Linked DNA regions of Oreochromis niloticus. The protein of the gene in region 2 interacts with the protein of the main gene of each other region in a biochemical or structural test. Links are inferred from orthologs where the notes say so. Each region holds a gene or a part of one and is shown on either strand. Other genes may lie near its edges.

Evidence for each region.
Region 1: the proteins of small ubiquitin-related modifier 2 (region 2) and tprb form a complex in vitro, tested with the Homo sapiens proteins (2 studies listed by BioGRID). The link is inferred for Oreochromis niloticus from reciprocal best matches to the Homo sapiens genes SUMO2 and TPR.
Region 3: the proteins of small ubiquitin-related modifier 2 (region 2) and daxx form a complex in vitro, tested with the Homo sapiens proteins (4 studies listed by BioGRID, with this or other methods). The link is inferred for Oreochromis niloticus from reciprocal best matches to the Homo sapiens genes SUMO2 and DAXX.

The regions. Positions count from the first base shown.
Region 1 is NC_031981.2:2,409,929-2,417,860, forward strand, and holds the start of tprb (translocated promoter region b, nuclear basket protein), read right to left. Parts: upstream 3,020-7,932; 5' UTR 2,983-3,019; coding exon 2,832-2,982; intron 2,462-2,831; coding exon 2,357-2,461; intron 2,249-2,356; coding exon 2,175-2,248; intron 1,607-2,174; coding exon 1,510-1,606; intron 1,398-1,509; coding exon 1,294-1,397; intron 1,178-1,293; coding exon 1,013-1,177; intron 782-1,012; coding exon 689-781; intron 570-688; coding exon 489-569; intron 146-488; coding exon 58-145; intron 1-57.
Region 2 is NC_031971.2:26,017,958-26,025,669, forward strand, and holds the start of small ubiquitin-related modifier 2, read right to left. Parts: upstream 3,019-7,712; 5' UTR 2,881-3,018; coding exon 2,860-2,880; intron 1,956-2,859; coding exon 1,824-1,955; intron 884-1,823; coding exon 812-883; intron 1-811. Other genes in the region: ADP-ribosylation factor-binding protein GGA3a, read right to left, coding at 5,385-5,495, 5,700-5,810, 5,940-6,109, 6,902-7,101. UniProt on the Homo sapiens protein: Ubiquitin-like protein that can be covalently attached to proteins as a monomer or as a lysine-linked polymer.
Region 3 is NC_031985.2:8,769,962-8,776,816, reverse strand, and holds the start of daxx (death domain-associated protein 6), read right to left. Parts: upstream 3,020-6,855; 5' UTR 2,683-3,019; intron 2,277-2,682; exon of another isoform or gene 2,255-2,276; intron 1,155-2,254; 5' UTR 1,139-1,154; coding exon 896-1,138; intron 1-895. Other genes in the region: tapbp.1 (tapasin), read right to left, coding at 4,886-4,897, 5,054-5,082, 5,284-5,385, 6,656-6,855. UniProt on the Homo sapiens protein: Transcription corepressor known to repress transcriptional potential of several sumoylated transcription factors. Down-regulates basal and activated transcription.

The sequences.
Region 1 (7,932 bases), on a different chromosome or scaffold from region 2:
ACTGAACATCTTCTGTCCTTCTAGGATAGAAAACACGATTACAGACAAGCCTTTTACCTTCACCGGCATCTTTCAGCAGCTTGTGCAGCTCCTCCACCGCCTGACTCAGCTCTTTGCTTTTGGCCTCAGAATCTGCAGCTGCTCCCTGCCAGAATAAACGATGAAGTATAACAAACACTGGGAAAGAAGCCGTGCAAATACATGCAGGGATTCATTTCATTTACAAACATAAAGCTTAACCACTGTCATTTTAATTAAATATGTAAACACTCAAAGTTCAAGTTTTTAAAATCACAAGTTCCCTATAACAATTTTATTTAGCCTAGAAACACACAAACAATAAGATTCTGGCAACAAATATAGAAGTTGTTGATCACGGGCGCTACAATCATAACGTAACGTAATAATTTACTAATGCAAACCAGGAAATAATGGTCCAGCAGTGCAGAGTACCACACCACATGGTTTCATTTTGCACGTGTACATACCTTGTATAAATTGCAAAGCTTAATGTTGGCATTGAGCTCATTTCGGAACTTCTCCTCCATGCTGGTGTGTTGCTCCTTGGCCTAAAACAAGTTAAAATCCAACCATTCATTTTCACTCCGAGTGCCTTCATCATAATGTACGTTTACATAATACCAAAGGGTTTGATTAAAAAGGAATGACTGTCTGGAAACAGACATACTTCTTTGAGTTTGCTGATCATGTCCTCGTTTTGTTTCTGAAGGTTCTCGTTTGATGTCTTCAGACTGGTCACTTGATCTTGGAGTTTTTTCATCTAGAAATCACAAAGACAAATGGCATCAGATGACAAGTCAAATAAGGATCTAACCCATCTCAAAATAAAGAAGTGTCCACATTCAAGGCACAATGAGCACTGAGATCAAAGTAACAAACCAAGACAAGTAATCTCTGAGTCAGAGCTAGCTCGACAAACTTCTTCAGACATCAACATCTCAAAGAAAAACAAAAACAAAACAAAAAAACCCCAAAACAACAAAGGACGTGCCTCATCTTCTTTATTCTCCAGGGAACACTTCAGCTCCAGGATCTCGTTACCCTTCTGCCGGGACAGGGACAGCAGTTCCTCACTCTTGGCCTTCAGCTCCTCGTTAAACCAAGCTGTTTGGCTGTGCAGCAGCTCTTTCTCTTGTTCCATTCGTTTCTCCTTATACTAGAAAATGATCACAACTTCAGTCAGTGATCTGCTGATAACCACGGAAAACAGAAAACAACTTTCTCTCGCAGGTGGTGTTAAGATATTAAATCTACATGAAAATATCAACTCACTTTGATGTTGACTTCAGCTGCCTCGAGATCATCCAACTTCATCTGCAGGGTCATCTTTGACGAGTTCACTTCCACCAACTTATCATTGAGTTGCCTCAGGTCATCTGGAAGAGCAAAAGAAATGACTTTGTTATGTAGAGGTGAGAGTTTACATTTACAAATATACATGCAATACATATGAAGTTATATAAAAATAATTAATTTATCTTTTCATACCATTTAAGTTCTCCACTTCTAAGGATCTCCTCTCCAGTGTTCGCACAAGTTCTCGCTTTTCTGCCTCCAGTTCATCTTTGGCTTTGGACAGCAAAGTCTAAACAAATGCATTAATTTAAACAGAGTGCTTAGTGTTATAATACTTACAAATTAAGCACATCTTAAATCCTTAAAGCATCCAAAGCAGTTCAATGATGCATACATTCCCTTTATACACTTATATTTTCATTATCAAGAAACTTCTACAAGGTGCATGAGTGCAAAAGGACGGTAGGGGGAGGGGCTGGTCACGTTAAGAGATCTGATTGGTCAATCCAGTGTTATTAATGAAAATGAAGGAATTGGCTCCTTTCATATTGAACGTGGAAGTTATGGCATAAGCGCAAGGAGGATTTAAATCTTGGGTGTCAAACTGTGTTAAACCTTTTTCTATTGTTATGTTTAATTTGATCACCTGCCATACATACAGTTTTTACAAATATTCTTGCTAAAAAACGCCTGATTGTTCTATAACTGTTCATAATTACTCTGAACCTTACACCGACAGCAATAATAAATGCTCAGGCTCCAGAGGACATATGACCACTCTAGTTCCCGATAGACTAAACTCAGTTAGAAACATTTTTTAAAACAAAGCGGTTATCAGTGATTTTCGGATTCCCTACCTGCTCTGATGACAACCTCTGTTGTGCAGATTCGTATTCTCGGTTCTTCTCGCGAACACTTTGGAGTTCCTCTCCTTCAGCAAAAAAATGAAAGTCAGCGGAAAGAATAAAGGTCAACATTGTGGAGTCATAAGTGGAATCAGTCCGAGTCCGATTAGAAAACCTAAATTTATTATTCTCACCAAGTCTGTTAAACTCATCTTTGAGTTTAAGATGTTCTTGAGTGTGAGACAGAAATTCTTCTTGACATTGGGAAAGCTGTTTAACTTTTTCGAAGAACTGTTGCTCTGTAACAAGAAGGTAAACACAAACAGGTAAGACAAGAAGATAAAATCATCCCCTTCTTGCTTTATTTACTTCTTTTTTGCTATCAAAAGCAGTGGTTAGCTCAGAGGGTTAACTAGTGCTAGCATTAGCTAGCGTCTTATTCTTGTTATTGGAAGAGCGCAGTTTCATCGCCTGTTAGTTCTAATCAACATTTTAAAGCCCCTGACGGACAAATGAAGTAATGAACAAAGAACGGTTATTATGTTCAATACGTTCAAAGTAAACTTCTGAGCTTTAACATTGCACGGTTTAAAACAGGCATGCATGCACTGTAAGCAAAGCCAAACACTTTAGCACGGCTAGCTATCAGGATAACAGGGAATAACTTACCGCTGTCAACCCGGAATTGCTCGTGTTGGGCTTTTAATGAATCGATTTCATACCGCAGATCCGAAACAATTTTCTCGAGTTTACTTTGAATTGTTTTTGGTAGCTTCGTTAGTTCGGAAGCCTCCAACTCCTGTTGCAGGAGTGCCGCCATTTTTCCGACTGCAAGACGAGCAGGCGCAGTTGATAATTTGAAGCATTATGGGAAATGTATTTCTTTTACGCGAGGTAGCGCTTCAGTCAACCTAAACAAACCTCGCTTGAAAATAATTCTTAAGCTGTAAAAACAAAACTAAAAAACAACAACAACAACAAAACAAACAAACGAAAAAAAATCCGCTTTCCTTTCCACGATGTTTAAACCGTGTGTTAGCAACTAGGTCTAAGTTTTTAAAAAATCGTCCTCGTGACCTCTGGTGTTTACGGGATACAGATACTCTAGCCAGTGACGGCCGGCAGATGGCGCCAAAACACACTAAATCGACGTCAATGTAAGTACCAACGTACCGATGACTGTAGAAAAGATTGTTTTCAAAGCCAATGGTAAGTACGCGTGTGCAAGTATAGTATATTCGGGTATCAAATATCTGTTATTATTATGTATATATATATATATATATATATATATATATATGTATATTGAAATCAAAGGTTTATAACGTTATGACCGATATCATCAAATCAAATCTCATGAGGCATTAAAAAAATATTTGCAGAAGGCTTAAAGACAACTGGACTATATTGACTATATTGGACTAGCCAATATAGGGCTAAAGTTGCCTTTAAAAGTCTCTTTAGTATAATTAAAGGATAGTGAGGGTGGTGCTGTGCAGAAAGAATAAAAGGATACACTGGCTCGTTAATTAATTCGTTGACTGCTTGACTGGATATCACTATTTTCCATTATTATTAGTATGCTTGCATATCTGTAGGTATGTGAATGTAGGCAGCCTGTATAAAGTTCAGTTTGTATTTTTGTTTGCATCTATAAAAAGGTGTGGGTCTTGATAGGTGTTTAACTTTTACACTTAAAAAATGATCGTTGACCCTTAGAAACATGGGCCAACATTTTTAAAATAGATAATAATAATGATAATAAAATGCAGCTGAAACATATGAAATCAATAAAAAATCATAATTAATCATTAAGGAATTTGTTTTAGGTGGAAACTGAATGTGTAAAGATTATATTTGAATAGATTCCATTACATTTAACGTTTTACATTTCACTCATATAACAAAATTATATGGAAAATGTACATGTAATCTATATATCTATCGATCTAGCTAGCTGCCGATTATGATGCAAGTTTTGCTTTGTGTCCTTTTGGATTTACAATAATAACTTGAATATCTTTATAAACGTGATTCCTTTGCTCCATACAGAAGCAATGATGTCTCTCAGCCCCAGAGCTAATCTTATCTTTCAGTACACCCTTCATAGCTTCATGCTCCGTATTACACAGCACATTTAATTAATTGTAAAAGCTTGAAGTGTGAATGTTTGCATTTTTTGTGTGTAGCTGTGTGTTTTTTCCTTTCTTTTGTTACACAGCCACTTACACTTTCACTTAGTGCTCTTGGGTGGAATTTCTTCAGAAGTCTCAGTTTCAGACATTTTACTGTGTCCCTTTGTGACATAAACCTTGTTGGTATTCAGAAACTGTTGAGACTAGTTGGACAAATACCTCAGTGGCTCGTTGGTTCATAATGAAAATGAGACTTCCATGAGACAAAAGCGTGAACATGAGAAGTTTTATGGCAAACTTTTGCTGCAGGCAGCGGAGCTATTTTCTGACAGTCTGCTGTCACGCCTGGATACCAACGCGTACAGTAAGCTGCAGCAACATTACAGTGAAAACCTCTTAATCTGAGTCAGCCATACCGACAGTTGTCAGGACTTGTCATCAGCATTAAAGTTAGGAGCATGGACACTCCAGCCTGTGGTGTTTGAATTTAAACAGATGTGATTCATGGTTATGGGTACATTTACTTAAATTCATCAAAGGTGAGAGTACTTCAAAAGAACTTTGCAGCAAGTTAATCTTTTGGAAATCTAGCCACTCATCTCTTACCCCATCCTTGACATTTTTTCAGGTTTCGGTCCTTTCATTCAGTAAAGTGAGCCTAGCGTGTGAAACCTCAATAGGACCAACCCAAACGTAGGAGGTGGGAGCCTCCTGTGCACTGTAATTTATTTTTCTGCAGCCGTTCCAGCTGTGTTACTCATTCTCATCCTCCACTGAGTCCTCCATCCTTTTCTTCCCCATTTCTTTGAAAAGTTTGCTCCCTCCACCTTTGTTTTGGTAACAACAATCATGTTCTGTGAGGCTGTGTTGCTGTGGCGGTTGCATTGCATTGCACTTTATTCCACGCGTTCAAAAAGTTGCCCGTTGTTTGTACTGAAAGCTCACCAGGCCCAATACTCACATCATCACTTCATCGCTGACCTTCATGAGTCACGAGGATCTTAACAACATATATAAACAACATTACTTAAAATAGGTTTTCTTACAGGCAGTGAGGACGCCTCGCAGTTATGTCATCTCCCTAACATCCGGTGTCCATATTTGGTCAAGCGCGCTTCCAACCGGGTGTCCTGCTGTGTCATGACATCACCTCAGTTAAACTGTTTTTTATGTGGGTGAACTAGAGCGCGACAGCTGGGCTTTCCAAGAGTCCAAACATAAAAAAAGCACAAAAAAGTGTTCCAATTAGCGAAGGAGTATAAACAAAGGGGGGACCGAAATGTCAGAATGGGGGTGTAATCAGGTGGTCGGAGCAGGGGTAAACAGTGAGATAAACATTTGTTTGAGTGCAGCGGTGAGTCAGGTCATGTATGGGGTCTTTTCCAAGAGGAAAGACTTACTGTATCTGTGTAAATGTTTTTCTGGACTTCACTTGGCAAAGCTATTCAGGAAACTCGGCTCATGTGAGGCCGATCCTTCAGATAAGCCTCGAGGTAAAATATACCCTCTCATTTCTTAATGGCGTTAAAAAGAAATTTCCTCAGCTCTTCCAAGATTACTCACTGTGGCTTCTGCCGCACTCACTTGTACCCTAAAGCCACAAATGGATGGTTGTAGATTGACTAAAGTGTGACTTAAACATTGCACCATGTTATTGGGAAGTCGATGGCTGTCCTGTTTGCAAACAGTGTTGTCGTCTAGTCGAGACTTGCTGATGTGTTTGGGCACCTCGAACCACTTTCTGCTCCAATGGCTTCTGTGGAAAGTATCAAAAAAGATTTTGATAGAGACGTTATGGTGTAAAAATGATGCAATACCAGCTAGAGGCTATGCAAGTCATGCGAGATGCGCTACTGTGGAATTGCGAACACATGTAGATCCTAAGAGGAATATTTATAAGCGTGTAACAGTTTGGCAGCTCTCGCTTCAAGAGTAATTAGAAATCCTTCTTACAGGCAATTATATAAGAGACTAATGTAGTTTCCCCCTAAGGAAGCCACAACCCCCCCTCACCTCAGAAAGCTTAAAAATAAGCTTGGACGTGCTTTTCCAAATCTTTATATCACTAAAGCTACAAAACCTACAACAAATAAATTGTGACCCCCTGTTAGTCACATTTAACCCTTTTTTTTGCCTTACAGCAGGGGTGAGGGAACTCCAGGCCTCGGTGCCGGTGTCCTGCAGGTTTAAGATGTGTCCTTGAACCAACGGCTGATTTAAATGGCTAAATGACCTCCTCAACATGTCCTGAAGTTCTCCAGAGGCCTGGTGATGAACTAATCATGTGATTCAGGTGTGCTGACCCAGGGTGAGATCTAAAACCTGCGGGACACCAACCCTCGAGGCCTGGAGTTGCCCACCCCTGCCTTACAGCATGAAACCTACCAATTCAATTAAAGTTACAATCTGACCTGATACATCCACGATACATTAGGTTGTGGGACCATCTTTACCAGCAAGGTCTACGGGCATTTGTTTGTGCACAGATCTCTGAGGTCCCTGCGTTTCAGCCGTGTTGAAGTCTTGAGTCTGAAATGGTCATTGCTGCTGTGCTTGTGGTCATTTGTCCTGTCGTGACATTCAGTTTCAGCTAAAATTTTTATCTGAAATTGGACAGAGGATTTCATACATGATTCAGTGACTCCAAGGTGCCCAAGTCCTGGCTGCAAATCAAACCCAACTCATCACCCCTCCACCGCCGTGCTTGACAGTTAGCAGGAAGTGTTTGTGCAGATATGCTGTGTCTGTTTTTTGTGTTAACGCTAAATTCTCCAGACCAACAAACTGGTCCATAGATGAGTCTCATCCTTTAAAAACAATAAAATCAGTAAAATACACTGGAAGGAAAAAAAGAACAGAAGGTGTTTGCTGTTAAACCATTTTAGTGTTTGAGTGCATTCAGGACAGTTTGGTGCGACACTGCAGTAACTGGGACCGGTGGTGTCACTTAGTGAGCATATTAGAGCTTCATAGTCCAAAGGTAAAGGAATCAGTGCATAACTCTGACGACATGGGTAAGTCCTCCGGGGGACCTCTTCAACTTTTTGTTGAACCCTTAAAGAGCCGAAGCATCGCATTTACAAACTGAACAGCAATGAACTAAATATTAAACGATAACACACATGGATGAACTTTCCTAGAAACACATAAAACTGCCGCCCTTTCAGATACACGCACACCAGTCATATCCTGAGCAATAACGTCCGAGGCTCCTGCTTTTCAGTCAGAGTTAGTGTCAGATGTCCTCTGTTCTGACTTAATATTTAGCCTGAAAGAGAAAAATGCGAGTGGCTTTTTGAAACAGTGACTTTACTTTTGCATTAGAAAAATTAAAAAGGCAGACTGAAGATTGTTGAATCCTCAGTGGACAGATGATTAAAAAACAAGTCTGATAAATGAAAATGATAAATGTAGTGAGAGACAGAGAGAAAAGCAGTAAAGTAAGGACGGCCTTTTGAGAAGATGGAAGCATGACCCGTAAATGTGTCTTATTTCTGTAAAGCTTCTCTATTTTCTCAAGTGTTGTTCCCAAAATGTGGTTTTAATGATTTGATTATAAGTTAAACACAGTAAATATGATAATATAGTTATGATAAATTACCGACGAGATGGAGGAAATCTCTGTCTGGAGGCTG
Region 2 (7,712 bases):
TGACTACCAAGGGTAGGGCGAGTGAAACAGAGATCTGAGTATGTTGAACTTGCTTTGGAGTACAAGGTCTTGGTTGCTGTGTCTTTATATGGTTGGCAGTCTTAGTAGAGCAGCTGTGTGAAACACCAATTTATGTGTGGAGACATGGGCGGCTTTAATTTTTGTGTCCACAGCAGTTATGTGAATAACTATACTTAATGTATCAGAGTATTGTTTCTTACCTGATTTATCACCCAGTGTTTGACATAATGTTTTCCTTTAAACATCATAGTAAAAAAAGATTATGTTCTGCACTGACATAAAGGGGTACTGCAGATGCAACAAGGAGTTAGATCTGTTCATAATGGCTCTGTGCTTTTGAGTAAACCTCTATGCTTTTTCTGTATACAACAGTAAATATTATAATCTCTTTCTTGTTTTAGTTGTAGTACAGTTGTAATGCAGAATTATTGCTTCTTTGAGTTCATGAAAGTAAATGGTATATGCTGGAAACATATCAGCTGAAATGCAATCTCGGGACTGCAAAAACAAACAAAAAACCTAAACCAAACCAAAACAAACAAGGATCATGTTGGCCTGACCTATATTAGCTATGTGGTAATCCATGACTTTACTGGAATGCCCCAAACAGCTGACTGGTTTGTGGATTTTGAGTACTGTAACATAATGCATTGAGTTCACATGTAACAACTAATATGAGATGTAAGAGCCAAAGTAGCAAGACTATGAGGGCCAAGGTTTATTCAGCCGTAGTTCACAATAACGAAAAGTGATTCCAAAAGTGCACAAGAACAAGAGCATGTAGACTTACCTGAGAAGGTGTGTCTGTTTCATTGATGGGCTGACCGTCAAATCGAAATCGTATTTGCCTCATTGACAGCCCCTGAGTGGAAAAACAAAATGTTTACTTTTAAACTTCACAAGGTATTTTTGTGACCTCGGGTTTAAAACACCGACTGTGAATTGCAATGACTCCTGTTTCAGGAAAACCATCTTTCCCTACTGACTGCTTAACCAAAAAACCCCTTCAAAATTTGATGGAAATAAAAAGGGTGGGACAAAAGGAAATTATGTGGTTAAACTTGCTCCAAGACCATTAGAACCGTAACAGACTGTCTAAAATTAAATACAATATATTACAAAGTTACATACATGAGAAATAGCTCTAACGTATACAAATAACACAATTTATAAACATCCAGAATATTGTAAAGATTAAATATATATGATTGACATTTTAGTTTTAACTGCAAAACTTTGTTATTTTCACTATAGCAGATGTGCAAAATGGTGTAACTGTCTCAGTGTGTGCTGCGCATTAGATGGGGAGGACTGATGTTGCACACCTAATATGTCTACAGTAGAACTGAGGTGTTTTTAAGACTCTTAACTTCCAGATAAATTTAAGGTTGTGTGGATTCCGCCAAACTTTTCCGGGTACCATGTGAGTAATGACAAAATGAAAACAAAGATTTGCTTCTTTAGGGTCAAACCAAAAACTCTGGATATAGTTAAAGCAAAAAAAGCCTTGTTACCATAGTTAACAGATGTTTGCATTACCCTTCTATTTTAGGCCATCTGATATACAGAAACATATTCTAAGCATAAGTAAATTAAGCAAATTAAATTTTTTTGGAAGGTTTACCTTGTTGGATGTCCAAATATACCCCCCTCCCCCCCCACCCCATTTCTGATTTGGCAAGAACCATGTATTTTTAAATGTCAATTTCGTGGTCTCTTGCTTATGAATGATCAATTTCAGATGACCAGCAATACACTTAAAGATACTTCTAAAAAAAGTTACAATTGTGTCCCAGTCTCACCTGCCGTTCACAATAAGCTTTCATCAGTTTGCTGAGAGGAGTGTGCCTTTTGATCTTAAACTGCACCACTGAGCCATCCTGTCCTGCCACCTTCAGGTTGATGTGCTCGTTGTTCTCCGTCTTTACTCCCTCCTAAGACAGAAAACAAGTTCATAGAAAGTCACACTATTTAGAAAAAAGGGGGAGGTGTGACGATTTACAAGAAACTGCGCCCGCCATTACAAATTCCGAGTCATAGGTGTTTTGCATATCTCAGCGATACCTCATTGTCTTCAAACAAAAGTTAAGTTCACAATATGTGCGTGGATTTACGTTTTTTGCTTGTTTGTTTTATCCTCCGCGACAACTGCCTGCCTGATGTGCGTAGAGCTGAAGACTAGCGTGGGTACCGAGAGCAATGAGGACTGGATTTACAACTTCAACGTTAGCATTAGCTGTAGGCAACTCAAGCAACAATGGCCTTCAATACAACAAGATGCACTGCGGCCTAGCAAAGATTCAAATTATTCCACTTGTGCTATTAACAAAACCCTTATCTCTTTACCCAGGCTTATGGCTGGCGAGTCAGTACAACGGAACCCTTTATTTACAATCTAAGATTCGTTTGCACATTACGACTTTTGCTCAAAAGGTTCCTTTTTGTACCGTTTATGTTGCTCTGTTCAGTCTCAGCGTTAACTCACTTTTCTTGAACTGGTGCTTAATCTAGTCGGGTATGGGATAACTAGATTATTTCCCATTACATGTGCATTAGTCATACAGATGGCAAAATTTTAAAGGTGCCGATTAAAAATTATTTTACAGAAAATATTGATATTTTCTTTATTTCACCAATGGATCGGGTCGGTTAGCCACGTTAGCTTATTATGCTAACTTAACCCGCTAGCTTCCTAACAAACACCGTAAAGTTAGCGCATGTTTGAAGCGGTTTTTGGAGTTATACGATTCGAAGTAATTGTACGAACTGCTTTCCATCAGTTTACCGTGTACATTCAACTTTGTATGGGCTCTGATGCATTTAAAGTCCAATCCTCACCTTGGGCTTTCCATCTGCCATGGCTGCTGCTGCTGCTGAGGACTGTCTGCCTGCGTCTCGCCTGTTCTGCTACTGCTGCGACTGCGCAGTCTAGCGCGCCACTTTGCGTCGGCTGCAGTGAGCGAAGAGCCCGCGTTTGACTTAACAGCAATATAGTTCATGGCTCCAGTATCGTCAAGTTAATAACAATTATTAAGCGAAGTTTAGATACATATAATCTGGGAGTAGAGGCACTGTATCTGTAGTTCGTACTTACCATCTGGCATTGCAAAATGAATAAATGCACATCAAGGACGTTGTTTGGTTATATTAATGCACTTCACATACAGCAAACAACAACATGAGGTACATAAAATCCATTTCAGGGAGCATATGACTATTATTTTTATCAGGTCCTGAGATAGGTTAACGATTGGCAGAAACATTGATTTTCATGCATTCTTATTTTTTCTACAGTGTATATTCTAGGTCCCAATGAAAAAAAATGCAACTTCCCACAAACGGCTGTAAAAATATTATCTAGTATTATGTTGAGTTGAACTGATTAATTTGTTGACCTGTAAACACCATCTGTAATGAGCATCCCTATATAAGGCTGCTGTTCCTCTGTGTCCATATACACCACTGAGTGTTTCCCAGGGCCACAACTTAGAATCAGCAGCGGTGCATAGCTGGTGGCATGGTGTGCAGGTCCCAGGTTCAAACTCGTAGACCGTTGCGGTGTTAGTGGGAGATAAACATTTGGGGAATACAAAAATATGGAGATGGACAAGTCAATCATGTCAGTGCTTCAACCATATCCAAAATGATTGCAATTGCAGGAGTAGTCATTCTGGATATACAATATTCAAAATGCAATACATTTACTCTTATTGAATTAAAAGGCCACACCCTGCATTATAAACTAAGAGAAAAGACTTGAAGGGGGATCTCTCTCTCTCTCTCTCTCACATACGATTATCCAACAACATTTATTTCAGTAGCAAAGCACCCTTGCAGAAAAAAGAAGAGTGACATTTTGCCACTTGCTTTGAATGGGAAAAAGCAGTACCATCTGGTGGGGAAATATAAAAATAAAAAACTGAGGCGAGTACTCCAAAATCAAACCTTAACATAAAGGAATGAATTAGTTAATGTCAAAATAAATGTAGGATCAAAAGTTGTATTTTCAATTACTTTGAATGGGGGAAAATGTGGCCCGTTAGAGTACCTTAGACATTTTAAGTTAATTTAAGGAACTGAGATAACAATTCTAAAATGAAAATACATTCAGTTGCATTTACACCGATTTTGAACACTAAAAAAAACAACAACAACAACAACAAAAAACCCAAAACAAAAACAAAGTCATGTTAAAATGTTAAAAGGTTTAACATAAATAAAATCCATCCCAGGCTTTATTCATCCATGCACAGAAGTAGTTGTTCAAAAAATGCAATGACAAGTTAATTTAACAATATGACAAATAAATAAACTTATAAGAAATATGTAGAGAACCTCCAGCACATGTAACTCCAAAAAGATAAAGACAAAGAGGTCACAATTCTGTATGAACACATGGTAAGTTACCCAAGGGTTAGGCCTTGACCTATGGCTGCCGTTTCTTCCAACATGAATTAAATTTCCTCGTTAAGCCCATCTCTAGTTTGCTAAATAATGTAACGTTTATAACAAGTCTGTATGACTATTTGGTAACATTACAGACTCTGAAAATCACACTAACCTTTTCATCTATTAATACAATACTCAAAGTATCTATTAATAAGGGGAATGCAGGATACAGCTGACAGCTGCATCACCACACATTTCGTTAGGAGTTGTGATATCTTCCTCACTAACCAAAATAAATACATTCATGACAATAAATACTGCAATGCTAAAAAATATTAGTGCTGAATATAACAGGCTGAGCTGTGATTTCCTGTAAAACCCAGAAGAAAGGTATTCAGTTGTAGTTTTGAGCCACACTGGAAGCGACCGATTTCCAGTCAGCCAATATTGGAGTGATTTTTGAGCAAAAGAGGGGCTCTTGTTTGCTTTGGCCTGACGTCTCAACTCTAAAAATCTTACACAGTCATCAAGAAATCATGTGAAACTCAAATTGCGATCACATGTTCATACAACCACAGTTTCACAATCATTTTAACCTCTAATGCAAGACTGCCTTGTTTCCAAAAGTGCAACTATTCTCCAATAAAACAGAGACACAAATAAGAACATTAAAATTATATCAAAGGGGTACTAAAAAAAATGAAAGCACAACAATATTTAAAATTCACCAAACAACTACCATCAGCATTCAAACAGTTCATTTTGTTAGTTACTGCATCACACTGACTACCTCTGGTATCGTAATAAAATTAGCGCTGTATTTGTGCTACATCAGCAGACCATCTTCAACTCTCTGAAATCCAACAAAGTTTATCATATACTCAAACTCTGCCTGAAAGCTTTAATATTTTGCTTTCTTTTGACCACAGCAGAGCAAATCGATCAAGTAGTCTTACAGCAATCAGCCTACAGAGCTATAGAGCTCCCCATTTATCAACAGGTGGAAAATCATTCACCTCCCCCACTTCTGTGAATGGCTGCTCTCCCAGGGTGAATATCAATTTATATCTCATCCGGACCTTTTCCTGCAAGACATAAAAGCAGAATGTTTCAGTTAAGGACCGCACTGAGCCATTAACCATTATATTCTCATATTGATTGACAAGGAAGACAGTAAAAAGATGTTTCACCGTTCTTTACTGAATGAACAGCTCAACTGAGTAAGCGCTCTGTCAATAAATAAATGCTTAAATGCACAAACACAAGAAAAGCTCAAGGCTGAGCTTTACCTTGAGAGGATTGGCAAGCAGCATGATCTGAGTGATGGCAGCAGGGGGAAGTATTGGGTTAAAAGAGGCCAGCTCTGTACCCGAGGGTGGCTGCAGTTTTACTTTCATCGTCTGGAAAATTGGCAGAAGAGACATCCACATACATCAAACAGAAGCTGCATCCCACTTAAATTCGATTTTTTCTCAAAAATCTAATCTCATGATGCAGGAACAGTGTTACGTATGCACGTCATGTTTTACCCTGGGCACAGCAGCCTGCAGAACAATGTTCTTGACCGGCTGAGTGGCTGTGTTAAGCATGGACGCCACCATCACCAGCACATCCGGCCTGCCTGGTGGAGAGTCGGTGGCGAAATGCAGCAGAACACGAACACCATTTTTATCATAAGCTGTCACTGGGCACACTTTACCTAAAAGTGTAGGTAGCGCAAAGAAAAAGAATAAACTGAGATTACTTCATAAACTGATAAGGCAGTACACACGACCCTCAACACAGTCATTTGAGTCAGCTAGAAGAAGTTTCTGCTTTCATGCACATCGTTCCTTTCGTGCGTGCTGCAATGCTTAATTTCAGACCACAATAAGAAGATAAAATCCATCTTATTTCCAGTATTAATATGTTTTTCACTGTCAATTTGTTATTCAATTTTTCACTGTCACCAGTAATGATCAGTAATGATGAAATGTTCATTTTCCCATCTAACAATTATGTTTCGACAAAAAACACCTGGAGGTCAGTGAACCATCTGCAGTACACAGGCACGAATGCTTTCCCAAAATCTCTCAGGTGATTATTCTCTCTACAGAATTTGCTATCAAAGTAGACAGATGGTCAAACAGCAGCCAACATTTTAAATTACTGGTTGGAAAAACAAAAATGTCCTAATAAAAACAAAATACATGTTCACATTTTGAGAACATAAAGCTCTTTTTGAACAGCTTTTACACTGGTCCTTTTCAGTGAAAAATCTACTTTAGAAATATATATTTCCAATAGGTTTTAAGGACTAAAAATAGTGTTAAGTGCTTAATAGAGTAAACACCATTTTTCCATCACTGAAAACCTCCAGAAAGACATCAGATGATCTGATTTGACCTCAAATTTATCTTGTCAGGGACCCTGAGCATACACTCCAACAGGCTACAAAAACCTTCACTTAGAGATAAACATATAGTCAGTAAAGCCCACTTGGTGAACTCACTTGGCTTGATGGTATCAAGAGGGACAAATACATTGGCCAGGGACACCTCTTGTCCTCTACCTGGACTCGACTGGCTCAGGGGTAGAACAGGGGACAGAGAGCGCAACAGAGGGCTGTCATCTGCCTGACTCTTGATAGACAGAGGAGCAGACCATGCATGTATTCCTTCTGATATAATTGGGGTGGATGTGGCTTCAAGACTGAAAGACAAAGCGCAAAGAAAATGTTTGGAAAAAACACACATTTTTTGTAATTTTGCCTCTGTACACCACCACAGTGGATTTTAACATTCAACAATCAAAATGTGATTTAAGTGCAGACTGATAGATTGGATTTGGTGAGTTTAACAGAAGTACTACAATTTATACAAAGCCCCCTATTTTCAGAGACTCAACTGTAATTGGACAAGTGACTAACAAGTAGTTTCCTGGCCAGATTAAGTCTGTCTCCTCATTTTTTCAATGCAAATTAAACACAAAGATCTGAAGCGCTGAACTATGTATAAAAATGAGTGAAAATCCTAAACAGTTTCCGCCATGCTTTTATTAAATCTCTTAAATTAAAAGCTGAAAGTTGGCACTTCACTGATTTAAAATACAATACGACAGTGTGCAGAAACTGTGTCAGTGTCTAAGTATTATACTACTTATGGACCCATATGTATAAAACAACATGTAGTAAATGTTTGGCACAGACGAGATCATAAATATTTATCCTCTACTTGGGAAATTCTTTTGTTACATCAGTTGAAGTAATGACTATCATTATTTGGCACATGTGTACAGCATGTGGTATGAAAGACTTTCTCTGC
Region 3 (6,855 bases), on a different chromosome or scaffold from region 2:
AAGTTTAATATTACATACATATTTAATGCTAGCGTTTATATCCTCTCACAGTACACTCTCCAACTAAAGCAACCTCACCCACCCCATCAGTTCATTTCTTAAACAAACACAAAAAACCTGTCACTATTAACGAGACTGTCATACAAGCCAAATTAAAAAAATAATAATAATTGAACATTATTTTTATTATAGTTTTTTCTTCTTCATTATTTTATTGTTATTTTATTATAGTTGTTGTTTTTTTATATATCAAAATGAAATATACAAAAATGGTCTTATCAACTTTCAAATACTAAACATGTTTTTTTAAATGACTGTTTTAATAAAGTTGTTTTGCACCCAGTGGAGGAGAGCTGTAGGATGCACTTCACCTCATGCTGGGATAAACTCCATGGAACGATGTTCTGCAAAACTAGACTGTACTCAGGAATTTGCATTTACTGAATCACTATGAGACAACATATAACACATTCACCACAATACAATCCCCTCTTATTTTTAAAGCTGTGTTACTGGTGACAAGCGAGCTGTGGACCTTCCTGTGTTTCCCCTACAGGTGTGGTAAAGACCACCAGCTGCAGTCTAGAAGAGTGCAGTTGATCTGCTCAATGAGGAACTAACTGATGACACCACTGAGTTTCCCACAGTATTATTTGGGAAACATGGATCATCTCACTTGTTAATTTGATTTAAAAGTCAACATTTAAATATATCATGTTTCAACAATTAGCCTAGAAACACACAGATAAGATTTTAAGTCAATGTCACCCAGACAGAAAACTGAGCATTTAGAGAAGTCTGAAGTCCGATACACATGAAATACTTCTGCATAAATGTCATTATTTTAAGTTCTGGTCATGTTTAACATGAACTTTGGAACATCATATAAACTCACCTCAGTGAACAACTTCTGATTCTCTGCCTGCAGACACTGCGTGGTCTTCTTCGCTGTAGCGAAGGGTGACTGGGTAATGTGTGTGGGCACTGGCTGCTGAGCTTTGAGCGGCGAGACATTTTTGGCTTGAAGGTCAGGGCTTGATTTGGAGGCAGAGGAGGAGGGCTGAGGACTCTCTTCTTCTTTGTCTTCCTCATCAAGCACAATGATTTTGTCTGCCATCCAGGCAGGAGCCACCGCCATCCAAAACGCCGGCTTTCTAAAATACAAACAGGCAGAATGAGACCAGAACAGAATGACACACAAGCATCAGAACTTCAGTGTTTTCAAGATCTGTACGATATTTACATTGGCACAAAGAAAAAAGTGACAGATTCTGGCCATGTGGGCACTTCTGATCATTTAAATACCAAAGCAGGGACCTGCACTGTGAACCGGGTTCAACAAACCCAGGATATTTTTATCTGGTTTCAAAGAGAACCAGTTTCAGGTCATATTCACATGAAAGATCTGAAACAAAGACAAGTCTAATGACTGCAGAGTGACTCCCTTTACAAATTATGATGTCAGAACACAAAATGAAGAGTAACACACAGTAAGGCTGAACGCACCACAGCTGCCACAGATAGAATTACTGTGTTTCTGTACGAGGAAATGTTTCAAAAGTGCTACATTAATGTGTGGAAAAGTCCAATATCAAAAAAGTCAATTTAAAGTCAGGAACGAAAGCTGAACACATGCATTTGTGCGCATTAACAAAGTTGTCACTTTCACAGCTCCACCATAAAGACACGGGAGGATCTGAAGTATAATTACAATTTTTTAGTTTGTAAAATCAACACTATAGTGTGCAGATGTGTGTGAGACAGTTTCAGCTGCACCCACGTATAAAGGAATGAAATAATTTAAACATTGCTTGCAGTGAAAAGGGAAAAAGCAGGAATAAAGCTGCGTATAAAAATCCATATTTTTTACTGATGCTCACCAGAACATCAGAATGATGGTCAGTAGGTACTGGTTTTCTATATGTATGCTACTCTTCTTTAACAAAACCTACTGTGGATCAGCATAGTTACCTGATAATAGATGAAGCACCTTTGAAAGGTTTAAAAACTGGGGTTAACCTGAAGTCCCCTCACTATGCCCCAAATCCTGCTTCATAGAAGAGGCCCCTGGTTAGGTTCATGGCATGTTATCAAAGTCTTACGTTGTTTAAATCAGCTCTGACTGAGGATCCCTCATATTGGGATTTTTTTTTTAAAAACAGTTTAATCTGAGCAAATAGCTTCCTGAAACAGGGGCATGATCACTCAAATTCCCAAGCTGGGTAATGGATTTCTGGAATGACTGCCAAAATACCTTTGTGGCCCTCAGAAGTCTCCAAAGTCATGTCAGTTGACTGCTTTCAACAATGTCCCGTTGCCTAGACAATTCATCTGAGGATGTGTGAACCTGTGATTTACATGCCACCATTTTCTATCACCAGTTAAACTTCAATAACTGGAAGGCAGACTCCTGCGTCCATATTAGAGCCTTAACACAGAAGCATCGAGCTTGTGAATTTGATGCTTCATTTAGGGCTACAGAAGCCGGCTGATCAGCGTTATCGTTTCGCTGTGTTTACTCGGAAAATAGGAAAACAAACAGGGGATAGCAGTTTCCAAACACATGAAAGTGAAACTAATCACGATGACACAGACAGCACATTACAGGTGGAAAACTTAAGACAGAAGGTTAAATAAAGCACGCCCACGCACACCGTAATAATGAGACAGTAGGATACACACCGACCTGTTCTCTACGAGCTGCTGGAGTTAACAACGAAACTAGAAAACGTTGCACCGCCGCAGGACATCACAACACTCCAGTTAGTTAGCTGACGTTAGCTCTGGAGGCTAGTTAGCATTCGGACTTTTCTAAGTAAAAAAATAACCTGCCAGAAAAAAAGTCGAGTTACGCTCTCATCGCCTCGCGAACCGGGTAAACAAACCCGAGATAACCTCTAATCTCGTTCGTTTTTATCAGACTGGATCTTCTTCATCAAAACAATGCCCCTTCACTTAGCTGTGCTATCGAATCGAGATCGAAAATGTACCCGCTAAACTCCGCTCAACATCAACGCCTCTGATTGGACGACAGATTCGTGACGATGAGTAATGCCATTTCCCATTGGACAGCTGCTGACATGTACCGTTCTACTATTATTTTTATTATTTCTTTGAATGTACTTAATTGACTTTATAAAGCTTCTTTGTTTTACATTTAGTACTTTTATATTTTGAACTTTTATCAGATTTACTGTTATTTTGTGTTTAAGTTCAATGTGAGATTCAGAATGGGGAAGAAAGATGGTTTAAGCTACTTTCAACGTGGTAGGGGGTAGACTGGTAGGGGGCCAGTCTGACTCTGAATATTTTAGAAAATGCTGATCTGCTTGGATTTTACCACACTACTTTACCAAACTACACAGCAGAATATTGGAAAAACGTTTTCTGCTCTGACAAGTCATGATTTGTGCTGTAACATTCAGATGGGAGGATCAGAATTTAGGGTCAACAGCATCAAAGTATGGATCATCCTGTCTGTCTACAGTTCGGGCTGGTGATGGGGTATAATTTTCCTGATGAACCTCGGGCCCCTTGTTACAAAGTATTGTTTAGACACCATCGGCTCCCTGAGTATTGTTGCTAACCATTTCCATCCCTTTGTTACCAGTGTAGCCATTTTTAAATGGCTGGTTCCAGCAGACTTATGCACTATGTCATAAAGCTCAAAACATTGCAAACTGGTTTCTTGTACATGAGGATAAGTTCACTGTACACGAATGGCCTCCACAGTCACCAAGTTACAATCAAATAGAGCAATTCTGGGATGTAGCAGAACGACAGAAACATGCCATGGACACTGTGTGATGCTAACATGTAAATATGGACCAGAATCTCAAAAGAATATTTGCAGCACCTTATTGAATCTATTCCATGTAGAATTAAAGCAGCTCTGAGGACAAAAAAGTATTTAACCCAGTATTATTAAGGTGTACCCAATGAAGTGACCAGTAAGTGTGAGTGAATGTGTGGTTTAAAGTGTGTACAAGAGCAGAGTGTTTAACAAGAAGAGGACTTATTTGGTGTGTTTCAAGAGATTTTTTTTATTTAATTAAAATTCAGAGTCCGTTTAAATCAGATGCTAATTTAAAATCTTCCTTACAGCAGAATTTTGTGCTCTGTTTGTAAAATCTCAGTTTCAGTCACAGATTTAATGTTTATTAGCCGGGGCAAGCATGTGATGAAGAAAAATACAAACACACCTAAAAACAATATGAAAACAGAAATACAATCTCCATATTTACAAAAAGGACAAAAATAAGACGGACAATTTGAACAGTCTATTATTATTATTATTATTATAAATATTATTTTTAAAATAATGAGTCTATTATTAGTCTAATAATTTTTACTTAATTAAAACAGCATCTCCTTTTCTTTATAAACCAACAAGTACAGTCCGATCTCTGGTTCCAAAAAGTGTGAGTTAATGAGGTTTTTAGATAGACGGGAACATCGAATGGAAGAATTAACCTTTAAAAAACAGAAGCTGATGTTTCAACACATCACTCCAAACTTCCTCTCATAGTTTTTCTTTCCAGTGTTTGTGACGACATATAAACCATAAACAGAGGAAGGCAGAACCACACAGCTCTATAAAGAATGATTAAAGAAACGTCACAAGAAAAGTGTTTGCGCTCAGCTTCTTCGAGATAACCCTGTTCCTTTCTAAAGAACAAAAAGTTGAATCCAAACGTTTTAAAATAAACAAATTTGCTAAAAACAAGCATAAAACATACAAGTTTACCTCCAAACCAGAGCAGTAAAAAAAAGAAAAGAAAAAGAAATAATCTGTCCCATGAACATGTGGAAAGCCCCTCCTGAAATCCCATCAAACATATCGAGTGGATTATTGCCACTGATGGTCAGTCGCCTTCTTTCATCTTCACTTCTCTTTCTGTGATGGGAAAAAATTGTAAAATTAAATTCAGAGGAAACACCAAGAAGCACCACGTCCAGGGTGATGAAACATACAGTAGGTAACTAAATTAATAAGAGATTTCTGTAAACACATTTCAATGTTTGTCTGCAGTAAATATAACAGTGACATTACCTTATCTTGTTTATCAGCCTCAGCTGAGCCTATTTACAGAGAAATACAAATTAAAAAACAAAAAGTCAGGCACAGAATTTAATAAACATCTTACTTTTTGAAATATATTACACATTATTTTTTATTTGATCCAAAAGGTAACAAGATTTTCTCCAGCTTGAAATGATTAAAAAAAAACTTCAATACACATTAAAACTGTCATTAGATATTTTTGTGTCAATATTTGCTACCTGAGCTGGTAAACGTCCACGAGACAAACTTGATGAGCCCATAAAGCACCAGCGCCACGCCGACCATCGCCATAGAGTCCTCGATGGACGGAGAACTGAACCCTGAAAAGGAAAAAAGATCGTTAGGATTTATCTGATCTGAATAAGTTTGTTAATATCAGTTAAATCATTCTTACAGTACTGTGCAAACATTTTAGGCAGGTGTGAAAAAATGCTGTAAACAAAGAATGCTTTCAAAAATATAAATGATTGTTTATTGGCCCCAAATGTATTCTGCAGCAGAACAACGACCCCAAACATACAGCCAAAGTCATTAAGAACTATCTTCAGTGTAAAGAAAAACAAGAAGTGCTGGAAGTGATGGTACGGCCCCCACAGAGCCCTGATCGCAACATCATCAGGTGTGTCTGGGATTACATGAAGAGACAGAACAATGTGAGGAAGCCAACATCCACAGAAGATCTGTGGTTAGTTCTCCAAGATGTTTGGAACAACCTACCAGCCGAGTTCCTTCAAAAACTCGGTACAAATGCAAGTGTACCTAGAAGAAGGCAAAGGGTGGTCACAGCAAATATTGATTTGATTTAGATTTCCCTTTTGCTCATTCACTGCATTTTGTTGGTTAATGAAAATAAATGATTAACACTTCCATTTTTGAAAGTATTCTTTGTTTACAGCTGCCTAAAACGTTTGCACAGTATTATATATACTTCAATATCCAACCTTTAAGAGTTATTTCACAAAGCCCTTCCCATGTTTGTCACCCAACCGAGCCATTTCAGGTACTAACAGAAATAATTATTTAATGGCTCTCATGGTGTTTATCATATCTGTGCTGCTTCATTCATCTATAACAGATATACTAAAATGTTCTAATGTCATTAATTATTACTTTAATGCAACAGTTCAGGTAAGTCTGAAGGTTTGTGATGCAGTAAATCTACTACTTTAGCTCTGTTTTTAGAAATAAAATATCACAGTGGGTCATTAATGGTACTACATGGTTACTTGGTGATTAACAAAAATCAAACTGTTTTAAATCCAGAAGCTGGTGATTCAAACTGTTTACTTAAATCTAAGAATGTGTTGAACTACATCAAAAGTTATCCAGGTAAACATGTTTCAAGATTATTTAAATAGTTAAATATTTAGTCATTTATATGTGATACTAACCTAATAAGCCTCATTTAAAGGAAAGTGTTTTGTTAGTGGAAATATCTTTTCTTATATCAGTTTCCCTTCTATACTATTCTACCTTTCTTCTCTCTATTTCATCATTAGTACCTTCTCCAGGTGTATAAAAACTGCTTTAACTCGATATAAACTGAGCTGTTAATTTGCTTGCTTGTCTTCCAGGTTTGCTTCACATTACCAATGACATTGAGGGTCACGCTGGTCCGTCTCGTGCCTCCAGCGTGGGCGGCCACACAGGTGAGCTCCCCTCCTCTGCCCAGGTCCAGCTTAGAGGTGTCGATCTCGAGCCGGGAGGTCTGGCTGAAGGTGCGGTCCCAGGCCTGCCTGTGGCCTGTTACGCTGAATGAATCCAGGGTCTTGGACTTCCCGTCGGCACCT